Cricetulus griseus: one gene and its partners. The protein of the gene in region 1 binds, or shares a complex with, the protein of each later gene. Links are inferred from orthologs where the notes say so. Each region holds a gene or a part of one and is shown on either strand. Other genes may lie near its edges. The genes, in order: Arpc3, Arpc5 and Arpc2.

Region 1 (4,297 bases):
CGAACACCATTAATGCAGTCACTCAGAAGGCAGAGGCAGATGTATCTCTGTAAGTTCCGAGGCCAGACTGGTCTACAGAGTGAGTGCCAGGACAGGCTCCAAAAAAAAGCTACACAGAGAAACCCTGTCTCAAAACAAAACCAGAAACAAACAAATGTATTAATTATGTATATGTATTGTGTCTATGTATGGGGATTTCTATGTGTATACAGTGCCCAGAGTGTTTCAGAAGTGGTTGTTGGGTTCCCTGGACCTGGCTGTTGTGAGCTGATGGATATGGATGCTGGGAACAAAATTCTAGTGCTCTATTAAGAGCAGTGTGAGAATAGGGCTTTTCTGATGTCAATGGTAGCTAGCCCTTCAAGAGCCAATCTGCCCCACCTAGTAAATCTTTTATGTACATTTAAAACTTTTAAATTTATTTCTATTTTTTTGTATGCCTGTATGCCAGAAGAGGGTATTAGATCCCATTATAGATGGTTGTGAGCCACCATGTGGTTGCTGGGAATTGAACTCAGAATCTCTGGAAGAGCAGCCAGTGCTCTTAATCCCTAAGCCATCTCTCCACACATTTTCTTTTTCTTTCTTTTGGTTTTTTGAGACAGGGTTTCTCAGTGGAGCTTTGTAGACCAGGTTGGTCTCGAACTCACAGAGATCTGCCTGTGACTAAAGGCATTCATCACTACCGCCCAGCACCTCCACATATCTTTTAATCTCCCCACCTGGTACCACTTCTGTTATCCAAAGGCATTGCTACATTGCTAGAACCTGGTGGCCCAAGGGGCTGACCCTTTCCCGTACCCTTCATTTCCTACGTGAAGACTCTTTTAAAACTAGATAGTCATGAAAGACACAGTCACTACTTGAGTGAGAATAAAAACTATGTGAACTACCCACCCCATCCCATTGTGCTTGCTAACTCTGTTTGTGTCCAGGTCATGGTACATCTTTTGGGTTTTTTTTGGAAAAAAATTGCTGTTAAGTTGCTTTTGCTTTGTTTATGTGTTTCTTTGTGTGACACCAAGTATATGTGCTTCTAACAGCAGCAAGCACTCATAACTGCCGAGCCATCTCTCTAGGCCCTGACATGAGATCTCATATATCACACAAATATCACATATATAGGCACACATGTGATATTTCATGCTAACAGAGAAAGCAGACATAAAATAAATTATCATAGGTTAAGTCCAGAACTTTCTGTGTCCAACTGGAATGAGCACAGAGCTTTCCTTTCTGGCTTAAACTCTGGCTTCACTTCTTGTGAGAAACACTGCACAAGTCACATTAATTCTCTGAGCCCTAGTTCCTTCAGCAAAACCATCACAATAAGGACATCTACTTCATAGTGTCATCCTGGGAATGAAGGTCTCATCTGGACAGTAACCCTGGGTCTCCACATACACTCAGCAACTCTAAGACTCATCAAGACTCATAAACCTTACAAAGCTGAACTTGGTGATGCAGGCCTGTGATCCTAGCTACTTGGGAAGCTGAGGCAGGAGCATCACAAGTTCAAGGCCAGCCTGGGCAACTTTATGAGACCCTTCCTCAAAATAGGGTAAAAAGGAGGAGGGGATATAGCTCAGTGGTAGAGGATCTATATAGCCTGCCATGAGTTTCTGGGTTCAATTCCCAGCACTGCTAAAACACATACACAGAGCTGAAACTTACACTTGCTCTCCTTTTTGACCCAAGTACACCGTATCTACACCAGCCTGGTGCCCTCTCTGTCATGGGGTACTGTGTTGGTTTTCTTCTTTGCACATGTCCATACATCACTCATGCATGTTTGTGTGTAGTGTATAAGTGTTCATGTGTGCATGCAGGTGTATGTGTACATCTACACATGGAAGCCAGGTCTCTTCCACAACTGCTTTTTCCACTTTAGTTTTGGGACAAGGAGCCTCAGGGATCTCTAACCCTTCCCAGCTCTGAAATTGCAGACGAGTTCCTTCCCCTGACGGTTTAATTGTAAGCTCCTTGAGCAGGCCTTGGTAGCTGCTGTTAACAGTGCTGGTTTCCTAGTGAGAGTTCAGGGATGCTTGTCCAATGTGGATTTATTCACGCATCCCTTTACTAATCTGCAAAACAGAACCCATGATGGAGACCGGCAGTCAAATGTCAAGACACATCGCCCATCACCAATTTTTCCTCCCACTCGAAAGCACACGAAAAAGAAAACTCCTAGAAACCAGCGCTGTCTCGATCGTGGTCTGGAGCTACAGCAGGGAGAACGAGGTAGGGATCGGTCAGGGAAGCGAAGCCCGACAGGTGTTTAGCAGCAGGCTGACCCACTCCATGGGGCGGAGGAGGAAGTGGAAGTGACAACGGGGAGAGAAAAGGGGAAGCTGGACCCTAGATTTAAAAATAAGTTAAAAGCCGTCGTTCTTAACTTCGAGGCTCTCGGGTGGGATCTGGGAACACTGCAGGACTAGGAAGAAAGCAGCCCTGCGAGAAAAGGACTGGAGCAAAGGGCTGGGGCTGGAGAGCAGGGCAGCTGTTTTCTCTCTCCCCGGACTTCTACCGCGGCCTCCCGCCTCTCTTCTGGCCCTTGCCCCGCTCGCCTCTCCACCCTCGGGGCTCGAAGCCTTACCGGCATTTTGGAGGTGTCCGGATTCGATCCAGAGAAGCAGGACCCAGGTAAAGCGGAACGCTTCCGGCCAGCGAACCTGGGTGGAGTGGGCGGAAGTGAGCCGGAAGAGGCGGGCGAAGCGAAGAGATGCACTTCCGGTTTAGCTTCCGCCTCCCGGTTGCTGCGACCGCTCTGACCGGAAAGGACGCCAGGGATGTGCGAGCAATAGGCTGAGTGTGTAGCGCATTCATAAAACGCGCGCACGCAGCTTTACAATTAAAGAGTCCTTCAGAGGTTAATAATCACCTCCCGCTTTTTTTTTTTTAAATTCCCTGGCCTGTTTCAAATCCGGTACCACTCAGCTCCCTGATTTATCCTCCTCCACTGTCAAGTTTTTATTTTTACCGCAGCCCACGTGGGGAGTCGAAGTTGGTGCTCACCTTCCACCATGGGGACTCTGGGCACCGATCTCAGGTCTCCGGGTACCTTTGCACTTGAGTCATCTCGGCGGCCCTTATTTTTCTTTTCTTTTTTAAGATTTTATTATTATAGTCTTCTGCCTGCATGCCAGCAGAGGGCGCCAGATCTCATTCAAGGTGGTTGTGAATCACCATGTGGTTGCTGGGAATTGAACTCAGGACCTCTGGAAGAACAGTCAGTGCTCTTAACTGCTGAGCCATCTCTCCAGTCCCTATTTTTATTTTCTTGTGGAAGATTCTTACAATGTCCAGGCTGGTCTCAAACTGGATACATGTGTCTTGAATTTATGAGCCATCCTCTTGAATACTTTTATGCTGGCATCACAGGTGTGGTCCCCATCACTCCTGGTTGCTCAGTTTTATGATGTCTACTTGTGGTGTTTCATCTCCCTGTCTTCCTTGTCACATTGAGACAGTCAGGGACCACCATGGGAGTAAAGTGCAACACCACTGCCCATCCATGTAACACTTGCCTTTAATCCCAGCACTTGGGAAACAGAAGCAGGGGATCTCCGAGTTCGATGCTAGCCTGGTCTACAGAGTGAGTTCCAGGATAGTCAGGACTACACAGAGAAACACTCTCAAAATACAAAAAAAGGGAGGACCTATTTCTTTCCAACACATACATTCATAAATACATATCTCAAAACACAGTTTTAATTTTTAATTGTATAAATAATGTTTGATTTGGGAAAATAAGATTCATGTATATATACCCTTCCAATATTTTTTCATTTGGAGATATGTTTTGTTACAATAATTGTACCTCTTCAAAAACAAACAAATCAATCAAAAGAAAATCCCTCAAAAAACAAAAATCCAACTGTAAATAAAATTAAAATTAGACTCAAGTGCACTGGAGTGTGCACACATACATACACACACACACACACACACACAAGAACAAGAGATGTGTAGGGCAGGTTGATTTATATTATATAAAGTCTCTGCATAAATTGTTACTTCAATTTTTTTAAATCCAAAATGATGCTGTCAGAATAAAATCTCTTCTTGAAAGAGTAGTGGTTTCAGAGCTCAGAGCACAATCCAGGCTCACTCCAGGGAGAGACCAGCATTGTTTACAAGCAGCTGCTTCCCATGGTCACCTCTTCCAAAAGCATTCCTAGGGTCACAATCAGATGGCCACTGTGTAGTCAACCTCACTCATTCTGCCGTTCTTGAAAATATTCGTCAAACATGGAGGAAGACTCTTCTTCCTGTTCCTGACACAAAAGAAAGACAA
Region 2 (3,934 bases), on another chromosome or scaffold:
TAAGTTCTTGCACATTGTTATACAGTTGAATTATAAGACTTTTTTTTTTTTAAAGAATATAAACCCTTGTAGAAACTCTTTAAGCATGCAGCAATACCAAAGGCAGTAACTGACCCAAGGAAGGAGCATGGTGATCATCTTTTTATGCTTATGATCATATCTTTGTCTTCCATAATATTTAATATTAACATAATTAACAGAACTGATTTCTCCATCCTTTAAATTGACTGTGTTCTACACCACATTATCCCAACTCTACATTTCACTGCTATTTTTTGTAAGATGTTTTTACTTATCAAGAATTTCCTTTTAAACTGGATGTGGTGGCATATGCCTTTAATCCAAGTGGAGGCAGGAGATCTCTGGGAGTTAGTTCTAGGCCAGGTTATACATCTAGACCCAATCTCAAAAGAAAAAAACAATAAACAAAAAATTCACATAGTAAAGTCTTGTGTCAAGGATTTCGGTAAGAACAGTGAGACATGGAAGAGACTAATGCTGTAGCCAGCAACTCACCTTCACTGCCTGACTCTTTGTGTTGATAGGGGGGTTCTTCAGAGCCGCCTGGAGTGCAGCTGTCATGTTTCCTGTAATGACGGTTAAGGGGATAACAACAAAGGACAGCCCCTGCTTTACAGCACTACTGGTTCTTAAGACTTGACTTTCTATAGTAACAAAAATTACTATGGACGTTATGTTCAATATTAGAAACTGCATCCGTTTATTTCCAATATGTCAATCAAAGGTTAAAATCAATTAAGAGAATATAGGAATTATTTTTAAAGCAAAGATACCTTGACCTTGGTCCCATCAAAGAGATTACACTTTCTAGTGAAATACACACAATTGTCTAGATAGGTAGTCAAGAAACCTTATAATTTGCATCAGAATTATTAGGTTACCAGTGGAAGCAGCCTACAAACCAATACCAGCAAACAAAGTATACCATCTTATTTGTGTCTAATTCTTATTGGAAAACAACCCTAAACCTTATATTGAAACTACACTGTATATTACCGAAATGCTGGCTGACTACTCTGGCAATAGGAACGGAACAGGCAATAGCTTAATATTGATGAGCAGGGCTACGGAAGCTGTAATAATCCACATAACCTGTAGGTGGCAGCCTACTTTTTTTTTTTTTTTCCTACAGGTTATTCGAAACTGGGCTGGACCATTCATACCTATTCAATCAGGCTCTGAAAGCACTAGTGAGTTAGCAAGCATGGGAAACGGAAAACCAATCAGACAGTCAGAATAGGCAGTCATTTCCCTAAAAGGAAAACCACAGAGTCACTTGTTCCTCCGTCTGTATGTAGTACAGGGCTGTATCTCCTAGTTATAACGAGAAACTGTATCTTTATATTTTAAGATGGGTTGAGGAAAAAGTAGACTCAACTGATAATGGACACAGAAATAGGAGTCGCCAGAAATTTCCTAAAATACATTATTTTAATAAAATATCACATACCCATCATAAAGATTTTTTTCAAAGAGTAATGCTCACCACTTCTACAGAAAAGGTCTAATAAAAATTACCTACAGTTGGTGATAAACTACTCTCAAGGGTGCATGGTTTTCTAAAGAACACCTTTTTAAAGAAAAAAAAAGCCCAAGTATTTAAATAAGTAATCAAGTTAGTAGCAACTGATGTGAAAGTGAAACCTATATGTATGTTCAATGTTGTAGTTATCACTATTTTTGTTCACTTATTTATTGCTTCATTATAATCCAGTAGAAAATTGACGAGGAAAGAGCTGTATGAACAGACTTAACGAGAGCGATTTTTCTAAAGCTACAATTTGCAACATTTCTATTTTCCTAAGAGATCGATGCAAATGAATTTCAGGGTTATGAATATTCAGATATGCAAACCTAAGGAATCAGGAACTGACAGCCATATATTAATTCGAATGGAAACAATTTCAGAAAAACGATTTTGGTTTCTAGAACCGACTCATCCTCTGTTTTTTATTCACTGGGATTTATCTTAAGGATTTTCAGGGATTCACCACATGCATTCCCTATCTTTTTCCTATTGGCTTTTTTCTTAGCAGTTAAAGGCTCCACGCTTTAAAGGGGAATTTTGGAGAAGAAAACTCCCTTCGCCCTGTGCGAATGAATTATGTGCCAAATCCTTTTCTCTTAACAGTGATGATGATGATGATGAAAAAGCCCATGGGCTGAATGTACCAGGGGCCTCAATACCGGGCTAGGAATTAACTATCTCACCGTTCTGCAAACCACACGCCCGACAGAAAAGCGGACTCCAAGCGGGACGCCCGAGTCCCCACCAGGCATCAATTTCTGGAGCTCAGGTGCCCACTAGGGCGCCGGCCGGTCCCCCGCGAGGGCGCGGCCGCTGGGGCGGCGCACCTGAGGAATCCGGGCGCCCGCAAGTTCGCGAGCACGGCCCCGGGAGCTCCTGCCCTCCATCCCCACCCAGTGCCACGCGTCCGCCCGGCCCCCGACCCCCGATCTCCGCGAGAACAAGGATATTGCCGCAGACAAGAGTCCACCTCGCCCTCGTCGGGCCCGGCCTGGCCATCGCCGCCGTCCTCCTCGTCCACGAACTTATTCTCATCATATTCGTCCACGTCCACCTTCCGGAAGCGGGCCGACGACACCGTGTTCTTCGACATCCCGGATCGCGACGCGACGCTGGCCTTCCCTCCGCGGTGCCTCTTGCCTTTCGCGAGCCCAGCCCGGCGCGGCTCACTTCCCTCTTCCGCTCTGGGGCGTCGCCGGTAGCCGCTGCTTGCTCGCTTCTGGGCCTGCGCGCTAGCCGGGCGCCGCTTCCTCCTCAGCGCCGAGCTGCTCTCCTTCAGCCCCCGCCCCGCCCCCGCGTCCCCGGGTCCCCGGGGTAGCGCGCGTCCGCCAGGGAGCGCGCGGGAAGCACCGCGCACGCGCAGGCCCGCTGCAGGGAAGGGGCGGGGCCGATGAAGGAGGCGGGGGCGGCGGGCGGACAGAAAGCGGCGGGGAGACGCGATTGGCCGCCGGGAACGTCACGTGACACCCGGGAGGTTCCCATAGAAACGCTTTTCTGCGGTCCAGCCTTGCGGGGGGTCTTGGGTTGGAGGCTATGGGCACCTGGGGCGCGTGGCCTGGTCTGCTGCTGCCGCCGCCACCGCCGCCGCTGCTGTCGGTGCCAGAGGCTTGTTGTTGGGGTCCGGTGTGAGGTCTGGGTGACCGGACTCGGGCGTGGGGTGGCATGGACTGGCTGCAGGACCTAGTCCCCTGCAGTCAGCAGGAGTATGAGGCGGAGTGATGCTCCGCTGGGCGCCCAGCACACAACTAGTGATCGAAGCCCTCCCTTCGGACCGAGCGCCGCCAGGGGCTGCGTTCCTGAGCTGAGAGCCCCTTCCCGGGTTTGGGATCCCGCCGCTCTGTCGGCGGGAGATCCCCAAGGACGGAGTCGAGAGGTCACTTCTTACCTGTCAGCGCTGTGTGACAGACAGCATCGCTGCCGGACCTGCAGAATCTAAACTCGGTATTCTCTCCATCCGGAGGGAGGGAAATTCGCCTGGGCCGGAGCTGGGGATGGGTGGCGAAATTGGGGCAAACTTGTAGCATTTTGTAGAATCCGTCATCACATCTTAAAAATAAGTAGTTATTTGGAGCAAGAATGCCAGAAGAGGGTGGGCGAGTTAGGCTCTTCAGTGCTGAGGGAAAACAACATGTGCAAGGATCAATAGGAACTGGACTTTCAAGGTGGATATTTATGGTTTAAGGTTCCTGGGAGCCTGCCTGTGAGTTGTTATAGCCTACATCCCCGTTTGTGAGATCAGAGCTCTTACTGAGGGAGAGGCACTAAGATTGAAGAAATAATAGCTGTGCTCTGTGTATTATACTGTAGTATAAGCATTCATAGAATAAAATTAATTCCGGCGCTTGGCTGTGCCTGCTTGGATGCAGGCTTACCTGGTTTCACAAA
Region 3 (3,721 bases), on another chromosome or scaffold:
TCACAACCATCCGTTATGAGATCTGGTGCCCTCTATTGGTTTGCAGAATGTTGTATACATAATAAAAGAGATCTTGAGTAAGGGAGCAAAATGTAAAGTATGGATATCTTGTTTGCTAAATGTGAAACAAACTAGCATCATTTGAATTAACTGCTAGCAAGTTGTTAATACAGTAGAGTTTTCTGTCGGTGTTGAAGAGAAAGATAGACTATGACTTTTCACTGGGGTTTAATTTAGTTGACTAAAATATGAAGTAGCTCAAGGCCTGTTTGTGAAGTAGCTCAAGTTCTGCAAGATCAGTGAGATCTTTTGTATTCTCTCATTTTATAAATGAGATAAGAAAAAGGATATAAGAATTCTTATTTGTCCCTGAGCATAAGCCTAGTAAGAAAGATAAAATTGGAAAGCAGATGCTTTGACTGTACTTGATTTTTTTTTTTTTAATTTTGTGCCATGCTTCTGTGTAAGACCTGAGTTAGAACAAAAGTAAGGTAGAACCAAAGCAGGCTTGATGGAGTGTGGCAGGTACTTTGATGATGCAAGGAAGGAGCTAGGCGGTGGTGGAACACGCCTTTAATCCCAGCACTTGGGAGGCAGACAGAGGCAGGTGGATCTCTGGGAGTTGGAGGCCAGCCTGGTTTGCAAAGTGAGTTGCAGGATAGCCAGGACTGTTTGTTGCACCACAGAGAAACCCTGTCTCGAAAAACAAAAAAATCAAACAAACAAAAACTACAAGGAAAATTGCATAGAAAGGCTTAAGAATGTTCTTTGGTATGGTATGACTTCAAATAATCCTTTCACCTTAAACACAGTAGAACCATTCTATATTATTACACTTAGCCATATTTGTGTATGTTACTTCCATAGGCACTATCCTATGGGAGGAGGCATTGATCAGAATGAGCACTAGCTGTGGCAAGCAGTTGAATAACAGTTGGAAAACACAAGCTGTAGGTGTCCTTTGTCTAATCCTCCACCTTAAGCAAGTCTAAAGATTCAGGCCCATGAGAGAATGAATGTGTATTCTCTTATCTTTAAGCCTTGAATTTATATAGAATGCTTCAGTCTTAAGTAAAAATCGGTGCTGGAGAGATGGGTCAGCAATTAAGGTCACTGACTGCTCTTCCAAAGGTCCTGAGTTCAATTCCCAGTAAAAATCAGGAGCCTTTTCAAGTCCCCCTAAAAGACAGCAACAGTAAAATTATTTCCCCCACTTACATTTGATCTCTTTATTTGTGTATATGTGTGGATGTACATGTCCAGCTTGTATTTGGAGGCTAGAAGACAACACGGAAGAGGCAGCTCTCTGCCTTCACCCTAGGGATCCTACAGATCCACCTCAGGTCCGAGGTCATGAGGCCTAGCTGGCAAGTGTCCCCATCCACTAAGCTATCCTATCCTAAAATTACCTTACTAAGGGCCTTTTTGTTGTTTTACAGAAACAAACCAGAAGCTGTAGAAGTAACATTTGCAGGTAAGTGTCTTATCTCATCTCTTTTTAAGAGAGGGTATAATAGAAAAGAAAAAATTGATGTATTGGTGTTTTGCCTGCATCTGTGCTCCATGTGTGTACCTGATGCCCAAGGAGGCCAGAAGAAGGCATCAGCTCTGGAACTAGAGTTGCAGAATATTATGAACTGCCAAGCAGCTGCTGGGGATTGAAACTGGTCCTTTGAAAGAATAGCCAGTCAGTTCTCTTGAACACTTGAGGCAGCTTTACATTCCTGAAAAGAAAAGTTTTGATTGTCAAGTTTTTGAGTCTTTCGAGGACTGTTTCTTGTTACAACATTGCTAACTGACTTTGGGGTTAGGTAAACTATGTACTTTACATATCTTAGTGGATGGGGCACTCCATATCTTAGAAATTTGGGGTTTGTTTTATACAAAGAACCTTCTTTTTACTTTGGAAGTCTACAGAATTATAATCTTGTAGCTATCATATAAGTTTGCCTAGCATTTGGGAGAGGCAAGGTAAGAAGGTGCTGGAGCTTGTTTGTCAAATCAAAGCAGTAGTGTTTCTTCCATTCCCTTTTGTCCAGGCATGGTGGCACAAGTCTTAAATCCCAGCCAGCACCCAGGCAGGTAGAAAGTTCCAGGCTGACCAGAACTACATAGTGAACCCTGTTTAAAAAAAAAAAAAAAAAAAGAAAGGGGGGAGGGGGCTGGTGGGAGGTTGGGGGAAGGGGAGGGAAAAGGAGAAGGGATTGACATGTGACACAAGCTTGTTCCTAATTTGAACTAATAAGTAATAAAATAAAAAAAAGAATTGGCTATTCATATGTGACCCTGGAGATTTTACAGCTAAGTGCCATCTAGAAAGACAAGTGCTTGACTAGATCATCTCAGAAGACTTGCCGCCTAAGGCCCTAAGGTGGTTACCATCTGTGCCTCCTAGTCACTAGCAGTACCAAGTCCTCATGGTTCTTGTGGTTCCTGTGCAAGTTCTCTGTGATCTGGACCTCCGTGCCTAGCTTTTGCAGTGATACAGATGAGCTCATCTCACTTTGTAGGACAGGAAGAGAGAACCTAAAAAGAGGATAGGCCAAGAGATTAAAACAGACTTACAAGATAATCATCTATGTTGTGTTGATCTTGTTTAGATCCTAGTTAGAATATTTAAGACAAGAATGTTTATAATTTTTTTGAGACAATAGGTAATAGTTGAATAGCTTACCAGGTATATCTCCCAAAGATACATCCTGAAGTATATATTGATCAAATGTTGCATCTGGAGTTTGCTTTGTAGTGAATTGGGGTGGGGGCAAATACGTTCTGACAAAAGGGCCGTGTGCTGATCAGTATTCATGCTGCATGGGTGGATATCAGTTTGTTTATAGCTCTTTCTCCTGAAAATGTGTCACAATGAAAGTTTTTGTAAGGTTATTTTAGTACAAACTGTGGATGCAGTAAAAATAGCTTTGTAATTTTAAGTAAGACCAAAGATATGGCCACTGAGCAGTTAATTCCTCAGCAGCTTTTCTGTTGGCTCCCCAGTGAAATCAAACGAGCATCATTTACTTACATGCTCTCTTATCAGAGGTCTCGTAGCCAGCCCTCTGGTGGGTGCTAGGAGATTGCTCCCGTTTCTAGAGTAAGCAACCTTACTTGCTTTTTCACAGATTTTGATGGTGTCCTTTACCATATTTCAAATCCTAATGGAGACAAAACAAAAGTGATGGTCAGTATTTCTTTGAAATTCTACAAGGAACTTCAGGCACATGGTGCTGATGAGGTAAGCCCACATTGGTTTCCTTGGGACTCTTATTTTCCCTTCACCTTCTGTTGGCCCCTTGCTGCCCAGAGAATGGGCCAAACTACTCTTACAGACGGAGGGGACTTTACACAGCTAACTGAGGAAGGACTCCGTTTCCCACAAGGATGTGAAAAATATTTTCCAAAGAAGATTTTGGCACTCTGCTTGTTTGCTTTTAAACTTGGAGAAATAATGATGTTCCCTAAGGAAATTTTTAAAGCTTTTTTATAAAAAGGATCTCATGTAGCCCAGGCTGGCCTTAAACTTCTCATGTGTTTGAAGAAGTCCTCAAATTCCTGATCCTTCTGCCTCTACCTTCAAAGAGCTAGGATTACAGATATGTACCACCACACCCAACTCAGGATTTTATTCTTTCCAAATTATTAGGTTATCCAAATTTTACAAAATAATGAAAACAGAACAGTTAATCCTCCAGTAACAACAGAGAATATTTTCTTAACTAGTACA

Evidence for each region.
Region 2: Arpc3 (region 1) and Arpc5 share a complex: the UniProt entries of both Homo sapiens proteins name them as parts of the arp2/3 complex. The link is inferred for Cricetulus griseus from reciprocal best matches to the Homo sapiens genes ARPC3 and ARPC5.
Region 3: Arpc3 (region 1) and Arpc2 share a complex: the UniProt entries of both Homo sapiens proteins name them as parts of the arp2/3 complex. The link is inferred for Cricetulus griseus from reciprocal best matches to the Homo sapiens genes ARPC3 and ARPC2.

What each region holds. Positions count from the first base shown.
Region 1 is NC_048597.1:102,222,186-102,226,482, reverse strand, and holds the start of Arpc3 (actin-related protein 2/3 complex subunit 3), read right to left. Parts: upstream 2,842-4,297; 5' UTR 2,603-2,841; coding exon 2,597-2,602; intron 1-2,596. Other genes in the region: Gpn3 (GPN-loop GTPase 3), read right to left, coding at 4,215-4,277. UniProt on the Homo sapiens protein: Component of the Arp2/3 complex, a multiprotein complex that mediates actin polymerization upon stimulation by nucleation-promoting factor (NPF).
Region 2 is NC_048598.1:38,870,569-38,874,502, forward strand, and holds the start of Arpc5 (actin-related protein 2/3 complex subunit 5), read right to left. Parts: upstream 2,801-3,934; 5' UTR 2,643-2,800; coding exon 2,500-2,642; intron 590-2,499; coding exon 517-589; intron 1-516. UniProt on the Homo sapiens protein: Component of the Arp2/3 complex, a multiprotein complex that mediates actin polymerization upon stimulation by nucleation-promoting factor (NPF).
Region 3 is NC_048595.1:427,484,922-427,488,642, forward strand, and holds part of Arpc2 (actin-related protein 2/3 complex subunit 2), read left to right. Parts: intron 1-1,439; coding exon 1,440-1,474; intron 1,475-3,119; coding exon 3,120-3,232; intron 3,233-3,721. UniProt on the Homo sapiens protein: Actin-binding component of the Arp2/3 complex, a multiprotein complex that mediates actin polymerization upon stimulation by nucleation-promoting factor (NPF).